Linked DNA regions of Macaca mulatta. The protein of the gene in region 1 purifies or fractionates together with the protein of each later gene. This does not show direct contact. Links are inferred from orthologs where the notes say so. Each region holds a gene or a part of one and is shown in the gene's direction. Other genes may lie near its edges. The genes, in order: VARS1, EEF1A1 and EEF1B2.

Region 1 (3,529 bases):
TCAGGGGCCAGGCCTCTCTCTCATCAGCCAGGTGAGGCAGGGTGAGGAGTTGGAGGATAGGGGCTTCCATGGGGCCTTCCATGCAACTCACTTTCTTTTTTTCATAGAAATGGCAGAATCACTGGGGCAGGGTCCTGCGGGAGAGGAGGGGGAGGGGGGAGGCCAGCATGGGCGAGACCTCGGGCATCTGAAATAGCCCATCTGAAACCTAGTAGTGCCATCCAAGAGGGTCCCCAGCTGGCTGAGTCTGAATTTCTGTGCTTCTCTCTAGGCCCCGAGACTCCTGCCCTCCCAAAGACAGCTGCTCAGCTCAAGAAAGAGGCAAAGAAACGGGAGAAGCTAGAGAAATTCCAACAGAAGCAGAAGATCCAACAGCAGCAGCCACCTGCAGGGGAGGTGAGAGGCGAGGGTGGAGCTGGAAGGAAAGTTGCTGTGTGCAGTGATGGGGTGGCTGATGCCTGGGCCTATGTCTTCTCCCTCCCAAGCAGAAGAAACCAAAACCAGAGAAGAGGGAGAAACGGGATCCTGGGGTCATTACCTATGACCTCCCAACCCCACCCGGGGAAAAGAAAGGTACTAGGAGTGGGAAGGGGCTCACCTCTCAGCAGCCCCTTCCAAGTTTTCACCCTATTTTGCTCTGTTCTTGCTCTCACCACTTTGTTTGGTGAGGATTTGCAGACCCCCTCCCCTGCCCCTAGGCCCCTCAAATGCTTGTCCTACGATGTAAGCGACATTCAGAGAGGGAGATCCTGATCCCTCTCTGCTAGCCCGTCTCCTTCCTGGTGCTCTCAGCCACGCACTGAGCCCTCCCTTCCTCTCCCCCAGATGTCAGTGGCCCCATGCCCGACTCCTACAGCCCTCGGTATGTGGAGGCTGCCTGGTACCCTTGGTGGGAGCAGCAGGGCTTCTTCAAGCCAGAGTATGGGGTGAGTGGGCACTGCTGCCCAGGCCCAGAGTGGGTGGGGTGGGGAAGGGCAGGACTGAAGGACGTGTTGCCTGGGAGGGGCTGGGAGAGGTGACCTGAGGCCTTAAACATGTGCCATCCTTCTCCACCATCAGCGTCCTAATGTGTCAGCAGCAAATCCCCGAGGTGTCTTCATGATGTGCATCCCACCCCCCAACGTGACAGGCTCCCTGCACCTGGGCCATGCGCTCACCAACGCCATCCAGGACTCCCTGACTCGATGGTGAGCTCCTATCCGCACCTCCCTCTGGTTCCCTCTGCCTCATCTGGCTCTCTCCTCTTGGCTGACAGCCCCCCAGCCTCTCTCTTTCTGGGTTGGTGCTTACCTCTGCCCCCAGAGGCGCTACACTTCTCTCTCTCATTCCCATCTGATCATTTAGCTTCCTCTCCTAGTCCAGTACTCCCATGCAACACTGCCACTTGCAGACTCTCTTCTCTCCCTTCTTTCTTTATTTAATTTTAATTTAAGTTAATTTAAATTTTTGTGAAGATGGGTTTTCACTTTGTTGCTCAGTCTGGTCTCCAGGTCAAGTGATTCTCCTGCCTCAGCCTCCCAGGGTGCTGGAATTATAGGTGTGAGGCACCACACCCAGCCTATCCCTTCTTTTTCTAGTAACAATAACATTATTTTGAATTTAATTAAAAAAAAAAAATATATATATATATATATTTTTTTTTTGGAGACAGAGTCTTGTTCTGTTGCCCAGGCTGGAGTGCAGTGACACCATCTTGGCTCATGGCAACCTCCGCCTCCTGGGTTCAAGTGATTCTCCTGCCTCAGCCTCCCAAGTAGCTGGGATTACAGGAATCTGCCACCGCAACTGACCAAAATATATGAATATATTCTTTTTTTTTTTTTTTTTGAGACAGAGTCTCGCTCTGTCGCCCAGGTTGGAGTGCAGTGACCGGATCTCAGCTCACTGCAAGCTCCCCCTCCCGGGTTTACACCATTCTCCTGCCTCAGCCTCCTGAGGAGCTGGGACTACAGGCGCCCGCCACCTCGCCCGGCTAGTTTTTTGTATTTTTTAGTAGAGACGGGGTTTCACCGTGTAGGCCAGGATGGTCTCGATCTCCTGACCTCGTGATCCGCCCGTCTCGGCCTCCCAAAGTGCTGGGGTTACAGGCTTGAGCCACCATGCCCGGCCTATGAATATATTCTTATAAGAAATTTAAATTTTCAAATCCCCTTGACCACCCCCCCACACCTACTTCCTCCCAAGATTTAGCCATTGTTATCACTTTGATGTGTATCTTTCCAGATCTTTCCTATTTACTTACATATACATGTACCCATAGAAATTTATAGTTCTCCTTTTGGGTGAGTCTTTTCTATATTTTAACATAAAGGGTTCACATTACACATGTTATGCGCTAGCTTTCTTCTTACACTTAACACTTTCTCTTGGAGATCTTTCCTTGTCCTTACACACATACCACACATACTGACTTCCTTCTTTTTCATTGTTCCATAATATCCCATAGTGTGGCTATACCATAGTGAAGTCACTCTTTTTTTTTTTTTTTTTTTTGAGACAGAGTTTCGCTTTTTTTGCTCAGGCTGGAGTGCAGTGGCGCAATCTCTGCTCACTGCAACCTCCACCTCCTAGGTTCAAGCGATTCTCTTGCCTCAGCCTCCCAAGTAGCTGGCATTACAGGCACCTGCCACCACACCCGGCTAATTTTTGTATTTTTAGTAGAGATGGGGTTTCACCATGTTGACCAGGCTGGTCTCGAACTCCTGACCTCAGGTGATCTGCCTGCCTCAACCTCCCAAAGTGCTGGGATTACAGGCGTGAGTGAGCTACTGCTCCCAGCCTGGAGTCACTTTTTAATTAATGGTTCTTTCTGGTTTGTTGTTGTTGTTGTTGTTGAAAACCTTACTCTAATGCACATCCCTGTATATCAAGCTTGTCCAACCTGCAGCCTGTGGGCCACTTGTGGCCCAGGAAGGCTTTGAATGCAGCTTAACACAAATTTGTAAACTTTCTTTAAGCATTTAAGATTGTGTGTGTGTGTGTGTGTGTGTGTGTGTGTGTGTGTGTGTGTGTGTGTGTTTTAAGCTCATCAGCTATCGTTAGTGTTAGTGTATTTTTATTTATTTATTTTTATTTTTTATTTTTTTTGAGATGAGTGTCGCTCTGTCGCCCAGGCTGGAGTGCAGTGGCACAATCTGGGCTCACTGCAAGCTCCAAGCTCCGCCTCCCAGGTTAACGCCATTCTCCTGCCTCATCCTCCTGAGTAGCTGGGACTACAGGCGCCCGCCACCACACTCAGCTAATTTTTTTATTTTTATTTTTGCTAGAGACAGGGTTTCCCCATGTTAGCCAGGATGGTCTCGATCTCCTGACCTCGTGATCTACCCGCCTCGGCCTCCCAAAGTTCTGGGATTACAGGCGTGAACCACCGCGCCCGGCCAGTGTTAGTGTATTTTATGTGTGGCCCAAGACAGTTCTTCCGTGTGGCCCAGGGAAGCCAAAAGATTGGATACCCCTGCTGTACATGCTTGCTCAAGCATGTGTGGAAGGGTTTCACTGGTATAGCTATCAAGAAGTGAAACTGCTAGGT
Region 2 (3,966 bases), about 38 Mb from region 1:
ACTTATTTAAATAGGAGAAGCTGTGACTTCATAGCAAGTGTTGGGGTTAGGAAACTGGGTGGATAAACTTGCTGATGCTGTAGATCTTAGTCTCTACATGAGATCACGTGGAAAATCTGAATTTGAAAGCTTTTTAGCTTCCTTATGTTTGCAATCAAATGACTGTACACCTTTTAATTTAAAAAGTACCATGAGGCACACACACACTCGCAGGAACTTTTTGGCGTAACAAAACTAGAATTAGATCTAAAGCTAACTGTAGGACTGAGTCTATTCTAAACTGAAAGCCTGGACATCTGGAGTACCAGGGGGAGATGACGTGTTACGGGCTTTGATAAAAGCAGCTGGCTTTGAATGGAAGGAGCCAAGAGGCCAGCACAGGAGCGGATTCGTCGAGCTCACGGCCATCGAGCCGAACCTCTCGCAGGTCCGTGAGCCGTTAAGGAGTCCTCCAGTCCAGACCCTTCGCCCCAAGCCCCTCGGGGTCCCCGGGCCTGGTACTCCTTGCCACGCGGGAGGGGCGCGGAAGCCGGGGCGGAGGAGGAGCCAACCCGGGGCTGGGCTGAGACCGGCAGAAGACGACGCTCTAGGGATTTGTCACGGACTAGCGAGATAGCAAGGCTGAGGACAGGAGGCTGATTGGGGGGCGAAGGTACACCCTAATCTCAACACAACCTTTGGGGCTAAGCTAGCAATGGTAGAGGAAAGATTCTGGACGTCCCTTCCAGGCCGCCACCTCGTCGCCTCCCCCTCCCCCTCCTCTTCCCCCCCCGCCCCGGCCGGAGCTGAGAGTAATTCATACAAAAGGACTCGCCCCTGCCTTGGGGAATCCCAGGGACCGTCGTTAAACTCCCACTAACCTAGAACCCAGAGATCGCTGCGTTCCCGCCCCCTCACACGCCCGCTCTCGTCATCACCAAGGTGGAGAAGAGCATGCGTGAGGCTCCGGTGCCCGTCAGTGGGCAGAGCGCACATCGCCCACAGTCCCCGAGAAGTTGGGGGGAGGGGTCGGCAATTGAACCGGTGCCTAGAGAAGGTGGCGCGGGGTAAACTGGGAAAGTGATGTCGTGTACTGGCTCCGCCCTTTTCCCGAGGGTGGGGGAGAACCGTATATAAGTGCAGTAGTCGCTGTGAACGTTCTTTTTCGCAACGGGTTTGCCGCCAGAACACAGGTAAGTACTGTGTGTGGCTCCTGCGGGCCTGGCCTCTTTACGGGCTATGGCCCTCGCGTGCCTTTTATTACTTACACGCCCCTGGCCGCTGTACGTGATTCTTGATCCCGAGCTTCGGGTTGGAAGTGGGTGGGAGAGGTCGAGGCCTTGCACTTAAGGAGTCCCTTCGCCTCGTGCTTGAGTCGAGGCCTGGCTTGGGCTCTGGGGCTGCCGCGTGCGAATCTGGTAGCACCTTCGCGCCTGCCCCGCTGCTTTCACTAAGTTTCTAGCCATTTAAAATTTTTGATGACCAGCTGCAACGCCTTTTTCCTGGCGAGATAATCTTATAAATGCGGACCAGGATCTGCACACTGATATTGGGGTTTTGGGGGCCGCGGGCTGCGACGGGGCTCGTGCGTCCCAGCGCACATGTTCGGCGAGGCGGGGCCTGCGAGCGCGGCCACCGAGAGTCGGACGGGGGGAGTCTCAAGCTGGCCGTCCTGCTCTGGTGCCGGGCCTCGCGCGGCGGTGTGTCGCCCCGCCCTGGTCGGCAAGCCTGGCCCGGTCGGCACCAGTTGCGTGAGCGGAAAGATGGCCGCTTCCCGGCCCTGCCGCAGGGAGCTCAAAATGGAGGACGCGGCGCCCGGGAGAGCGGGCGGGTGAGTCACCCACACAAAGGAAAAGGGCCTTTCCCTCCTCGGTCGCCGCTTCATGTGACCCCACGGAGTACCGGGCGCCGTCCAGGCACCTCGATTAGTTCTCCGAGCTTTTGGAGTACGTCTTCCTTAGGTTTGGGGGAGGGGTTTTGTGCGGTGGAGTTTCCCCACACTTGGTGGGTGGAGACTGAAGAGTTAGGCCAGCTTGGCGCTCGATGTAATTCTCCTTGGAATTTGCCCTTTTCGAATTTGGATCTTGGCTTATTCTCAAGCTTCAGACAGTGGTTCAAAGTTTTTTTCTCCCATTTCAGGTGTCGTGAAAACTACCCCTAAAAGCCAAAATGGGAAAGGAAAAGACTCATATCAACATTGTCGTCATTGGACACGTAGATTCGGGCAAGTCCACCACTACTGGCCATCTGATCTACAAATGCGGTGGCATCGACAAAAGAACCATTGAAAAATTTGAGAAGGAGGCTGCTGAGGTATGGGAAAGATGAACTAAAATGAGTTTTACCAGCAGAATCATTAAGTGGTAGTGATTTCCCCAGAACTAGTGAGTGGTTTAGATCTGACCCTACTTATTAAAATAGTTTGCTTTTGGTTACTTCTGTAACCGTATTGCTAGTGAGTAGTTTCGATTTGGATATTAATAGTCAAGATCCTACTTTAAAAAGTTTGCTTTTTGGTTGCTTCTGTAACCCTATCTAAGTGACTAAAATTGCTTAGGACTTGCAGTTGTAAAGTGGAAACTATGTGCCAATTAAGGGCTGGGGGCAAAGAAATTGAAGCTGGAGTTTGTGTGTTAGTAACCAAGTAACAACTCTTAATCCTTACAGATGGGAAAGGGCTCCTTCAAGTATGCCTGGGTCTTGGATAAACTGAAAGCTGAGCGGGAACGTGGTATCACCATTGATATCTCCTTGTGGAAATTTGAGACCAGCAAGTATTATGTGACTATCATTGATGCCCCAGGACACAGAGACTTCATCAAAAACATGATTACAGGGACATCTCAGGTTGGTGGGATTAATAATTCTAGGTTGTTTTTTTTTTTTTTTTTCCCTGAAATGCCTGTCTTGTGCATTGGTTTTGTCCTTTGGAGAGTTGACAGGGATATGTCTTTGCTTTCTTTAAAGGCTGACTGTGCTGTCCTGATTGTTGCTGCTGGTGTTGGTGAATTTGAAGCTGGTATCTCCAAGAATGGGCAGACCCGAGAGCATGCTCTTCTGGCTTACACACTGGGTGTGAAACAACTAATTGTTGGTGTTAACAAAATGGATTCCACTGAGCCACCCTACAGCCAGAAGAGATACGAGGAAATTGTTAAGGAAGTCAGCACTTACATTAAGAAAATTGGCTACAACCCCGACACAGTAGCATTTGTGCCAATTTCTGGTTGGAATGGTGACAACATGCTGGAGCCAAGTGCTAACGTAAGTGGCTTTCAAGACCGTTGTTAAAAAGCTCTGGGAATGGCGATTTCATGCTTACACAAATTGGCATGGTTGTGTTTCAGATGCCTTGGTTCAAGGGATGGAAGGTCACCCGTAAGGATGGCAATGCCAGTGGAACCACGCTGCTTGAGGCTCTGGACTGCATCCTACCACCAACTCGTCCAACTGACAAGCCCTTGCGCCTGCCTCTCCAGGATGTCTACAAAATTGGTGGTAAGTTGGGTGTCAACAAAGTTGAATTTGAGTTGGTAGAGTACTATCTTCCTTCATAGGTATTTAGTATGCTGTAAATATTTTTAGGTATTGGTACTGTTCCTGTTGGCCGAGTGGAGACTGGTGTTCTCAAACCCGGTATGGTGGTCACCTTTGCTCCAGTCAACGTTACAACTGAAGTAAAATCTGTCGAAATGCACCATGAAGCTTTGAGTGAAGCTCTTCCTGGGGACAATGTGGGCTTCAATGTCAAGAATGTGTCTGTCAAGGATGTTCGTCGTGGCAACGTTGCTGGTGACAGCAAAAACGACCCACCAATGGAAGCAGCTGGCTTCACTGCTCAGGTAACAATTTTTAAAGTAACATGTTCCTACCTTATTGCAGAGGCTAAAGTCATTTGAGACTTTGGATTTACACTGAACGCAAATCTTTTTTTCCAAGGTGATTATCCTGAACCATCCAGGCCAAATAAGTGCTGGCTATGCCCCT
Region 3 (4,289 bases), on another chromosome or scaffold:
CCACGTTCTCCAACATGGATTCATCCATCTACTTTCTGCCTTCCAAGGTACCACCCTATCCCAATCCACCATCACTCCTTGCCTGGAGTATTTCAATATCTTCTTAACAGGTCACCAGGCTTCCACACTATTCCCACACAGCCCCTCCCCTCTTGACACTGGCAGTGACCTCGGACTGAAATGTTCTTCCCTGGCCCCTCCTTATCCTTCAAATCTTGGCTTCGAAGCCTTTTCTCAGTTTCATTGACCAGCCTATCTAACATTTCCTGACGATTCCCCAGAATATCACCCATTTTATTCTTCTTTACGGACTCATTTCTGGCTCGTAGTAAACGTTCAGTAACTGTTAAGTGAACTGAATCTCTAATTTCTGGTCGTTAATTTGTAGGGACCACTTTCCCGGATTTAAAAAGTGCAGGTGCTCTGGCAGCGTTAAGTCGGTGAAAACAAGACTATTCCGCAAAACAAAAATAACCTGTTTATTCATCAAAAAGTTATTGTTACACTTCTATACTGTCAATTCGTGTGTGAAGTTGTGTCTGATCCAAGACCTCACAGTACAAGCATAGATCCCAATAACTTGTAAACAATATTTTGTTATTCGCAATGCAACCCTGAGCTAACTTTTCAAAAAGTCATTTTTCTCAATTTCCCGTTAGTGAAAGGAATTTAAAAATTCTGTCCAACGTGGTCAATGGACAAAACAAATAAGGACAACAGAAGCGTGAGCCACTGCTAACACAACAGCGACCAAACAATCATGTACTGTACCAGGCGTGTAAAAATCTGGGGGAAAAGGCTCAGTCTTAAGGCTTAAGTCATCGGACACTGGTCCTCTACCGGGGAATAAAACGGCCTCCTCTGAGAGGGGAATGTCCTGAATTTTCCCTGCAGAGGGAAGGTCACCTACAAGCCCGCATTCGGGCCAGCGCTCCCGAGGGCCCCCTAATCCTCATCTTCCTTTCTGCTCCATCAGACCAGAGACCGTGGCTAAAAGCCCCACTTGCCGGCTCTCAGAGGCTTCCGAGGCGGCGGGGCGGGAGGCGGCTCCCAGTCAAGGACAAGAGAAGACTAAGTCGCGTGGGCCAAAGGAAACAGTCCCGTCAATAAATAAGCCTCTGACCCATGCACCTCACCCTTCCCATCCATACAAGACCTCACCTTCTCCCCGGAGCCGCGGAGGCTGTTCTGCTAAACTGTCTGGACCACAACTACCCCCTTGGAGGCCGGGTCGCTTACTCAATATGGCGGCCTCAGCTAACTCTGTCAGCCGGGCCTGGAGAACGGAAAGCCCGGAGGGACTAGAATCCTTGCATTCGATAAGTTTGTCGGCAATTTCCGTCAGCCGACCAGAGGGCGGAGCTGAGGTCGGCCCAGCCCGGAGGCGGGAAGGACAACTTGGACCCGCAGTTCCGCCGGAAGTGGCCGGCAGCCTCGAGGCCGAGCGTCTTCGGTCATCTCCGGCGCTTCTAGGGGCGGTTCCCGTCATCTTCGGGAGCCGTGGAGGTATGAACTTAAGACATGCCCATTTTATTAATTTATTTCCAAACGCAACGAAAGATCCAGGGACAATTTGTGAGCCGTTTAATTCAGGGCCCCCAATTCGTACGTGGAGAAGTGGGAATGCTAACGTACTTTGACCTTTAACCTTCGGTCCGGCGTGGTGGAGGGAAACGCCTCCGTCTCTATATAAGGAATTTTCCGGCTTCTCCGGGCCCTTTTTCCTCTCTTAAGCGCGGGGAGCCCACAACTTGTGCGCTCTCTTTCTGCTGTTTCCCAGCTCTCGGATACAGCCGACACCATGGGTTTCGGAGACCTGAAAAGCCCCGCCGGCCTCCAGGTGCTCAACGATTACCTGGCGGACAAGAGCTACATCGAGGGGTGAGCGGACCGGCTGAGTCGGGGTGGTGGAGGGGTTTCTGGGACCGGGGCCGGGGCCACGTGGCGCAGCGTGTCGGCTGCCGCTGGAGGGAGGGAGACGGGGCCCCAGGGCCCTTTCGAGGATGACGGGAAAGCGCCCCGTGGCCATCTCCCAAGGCCCTCGTGTGGTGCGAGCCCGGCCTCCGGGGAGCGGCTCACGAGCAAAGGAAGGTTAAAATGTGCTTTATTTACACTTAATTCAGCCAGGTGTTTCCACATCGCTGCCCAGTTAATACATGTTAGGTTGTAGATAGAGCAACGTTAGAGATTGCAGTATTTGAGGTCTGCAGACATTTCTCAGGATAGCGCGGTGACCCAAACATATGGTTTGATTTTAAGGAGATAATAAGAAAAGAAAAGCATTAAAGCAACCCTACTGGAGTTAGTGCCCACTAATTAATGTGATGCATAGGCACTGATTATTTATTCGCTGGCGTTTGTTTTTCAAAGGTGTGTGTGAATGTCTCTGTGTCATTGGCAGGTATGTGCCATCACAAGCAGATGTGGCAGTATTTGAAGCCGTGTCCGGGCCACCGCCTGCTGACTTGTGTCATGCCCTACGTTGGTATAATCACATCAAGTCCTACGAAAAGGAAAAGGCCAGGTAAAATCATCTTTGTATCTAGCTGAAGAATAAGACTACTCTCGAAGCTTTATCAGGATGTTCACATGACAAAACTAGACCCAGGCTACTTTAGTTTTGTTGGGGTATTGTAAGCTAAATTTTTCTGTAACCTGAGAAGGCCAAGAGACTGAAGCCCTCCATTTTTTCACAGAACAGGTAGAACATGGACAGCAGCAATTCAACTTTTCCCCACACTGCCCTGCCAATGTGCCTCGACCTTGACCTGGGGGGCCCACCTCTGGGGTGAGAGGGTGGCTCATTCATTCAGTCCTTGGCCATTCTTCTGAAACTGCCAACAAGGGTGGAAGTTTGGGGAAGTGGACTCCAGTTCACTAAGAATGGAACTGAGCATACTTAATGAAATCTCAAACAGAAATGTTCATACTGAAAGAGTAAATCATAGTGAGTATTGAAAATAATGTCTCACATGGTACTAATGCTTGTCGGGTGAGGAGTTGAACATATGATAGTGTTTACCTGGGAGCATGTGAAAGGGTAAATTATTATTGCAAAAGGGATCTAGTGATAAGTAGTGATTAAAACAAGTTATTTTGTATTGTCTGGAAAAGTATGTTATACTAGCTCAATAGTGGTTGAATTTAAATGTTTTTCAAGCCTGCCAGGAGTGAAGAAAGCTTTGGGCAAGTATGGTCCTGCTGATGTGGAAGACACTACAGGAAGTGGAGCTACAGATAGTAAAGATGATGATGATATTGATCTCTTTGGATCTGATGATGAGGAGGTATGGCATCTTCTATAAAGAATATATCGGCCAGACACGGTGGCTCACGCCTGTAATCCCAGCATGTTGGGAGGCTGAGGCGGGTGAATCACGAGGTCAGGAGTTCAAGACCAGCCTGACCAAGATGGTGAAACCCTGTCTGTTCTAAAAATTTAAAAAAATGTGGCGGGTGTCTGTAATCCCAGCTACTCAGGAGGCTAAGGCAGAGAATTGCTTGAACCTGGGAGGCGGAGATTGCAGTAAGCCGAGATCATGCCACTGCACTCCAGCCTGGGCGACAGAGCAAGACTCCGTCTCAAAAAAAAAAAAGAATACATCGATCAGCAATTTTATCAATGTGGTTAAGCCAAATTGCCTGGATTTGAATCCTGGCTTTAACTTATATGCCTTTTTCAAATTCTGACTGGTTGCATGATGAATAAAATCAAATCACCATCTTTCGGCTGAGTTCGTGATGGATTTGCTTTTTTCTGATTAAGCCAGTCTTTTTTGTGATGACCCCACTAGCTTTAAGCAGATGACAACCGACTTTCTGAAGTGGATTAATTTTTTTTCTTTACAGGAAAGTGAAGAGGCTAAGAGGCTAAGAGAAGAACGTCTTGCACAATATGAATCAAAGAAAGCCAAAAGTAGGTCATTTGTTTTTAACTTCATTTCATGATAATGTAAGTAATCTTTTTCAAAGCTTGACCTTTAAGTAATTTCCTCCACATTCCTTGAACAGGTCAATATTTTAAAACCTCCTGTAGAAGTTCTTCCACAGCTACTGGTCTGCAGCTGTTCTTATGGTAGCAGTTGTGGCATTCCTCTGTGGGAAAGAAACTGTTAACACAAACACCTCTTTCTTAGCAAAACAGAAAGTGGGCATATGTGTGACAGACACAAGATGTATCTGTAGTTTTGTTTGGCTAAGGAGATAGTCAATCTCAAAACAAATTGAGGTGATTTGTTTGTGTCTTGGAGTAAGGTAAAAAAATACAGTTCATTATTTGAATAATGCTG

What was found.
Region 2: the proteins of VARS1 (region 1) and EEF1A1 purify together in Homo sapiens (affinity purification with mass spectrometry; 3 studies listed by BioGRID and IntAct, counting the BioPlex papers as one, with this or other methods). This does not show direct contact. The link is inferred for Macaca mulatta from reciprocal best matches to the Homo sapiens genes VARS1 and EEF1A1.
Region 3: the proteins of VARS1 (region 1) and EEF1B2 fractionate together in Homo sapiens (co-fractionation; 3 studies listed by BioGRID, with this or other methods). This does not show direct contact. The link is inferred for Macaca mulatta from reciprocal best matches to the Homo sapiens genes VARS1 and EEF1B2.

What each region holds. Positions count from the first base shown.
Region 1 is NC_133409.1:150,527,227-150,530,755, forward strand, and holds part of VARS1 (valine--tRNA ligase), read left to right. Parts: coding exon 1-31; intron 32-271; coding exon 272-396; intron 397-485; coding exon of another isoform or gene 486-488; coding exon 489-573; intron 574-825; coding exon 826-926; intron 927-1,059; coding exon 1,060-1,187; intron 1,188-3,529. UniProt on the Homo sapiens protein: Catalyzes the attachment of valine to tRNA(Val).
Region 2 is NC_133409.1:112,151,400-112,155,365, forward strand, and holds the start of EEF1A1 (elongation factor 1-alpha 1), read left to right. Parts: upstream 1-1,159; 5' UTR 1,160-1,172; exon of another isoform or gene 1,173-1,810; intron 1,811-2,118; 5' UTR 2,119-2,148; coding exon 2,149-2,292; intron 2,293-2,646; coding exon 2,647-2,826; intron 2,827-2,946; coding exon 2,947-3,243; intron 3,244-3,326; coding exon 3,327-3,477; intron 3,478-3,564; coding exon 3,565-3,821; intron 3,822-3,918; coding exon 3,919-3,966. UniProt on the Homo sapiens protein: Translation elongation factor that catalyzes the GTP-dependent binding of aminoacyl-tRNA (aa-tRNA) to the A-site of ribosomes during the elongation phase of protein synthesis.
Region 3 is NC_133417.1:111,411,946-111,416,234, forward strand, and holds the start of EEF1B2 (elongation factor 1-beta), read left to right. Parts: upstream 1-1,476; 5' UTR 1,477-1,801; coding exon 1,802-1,881; intron 1,882-2,401; coding exon 2,402-2,524; intron 2,525-3,160; coding exon 3,161-3,287; intron 3,288-3,690; exon of another isoform or gene 3,691-3,769; intron 3,770-3,849; coding exon 3,850-3,916; intron 3,917-4,042; exon of another isoform or gene 4,043-4,172; intron 4,173-4,289. UniProt on the Homo sapiens protein: Catalytic subunit of the guanine nucleotide exchange factor (GEF) (eEF1B subcomplex) of the eukaryotic elongation factor 1 complex (eEF1).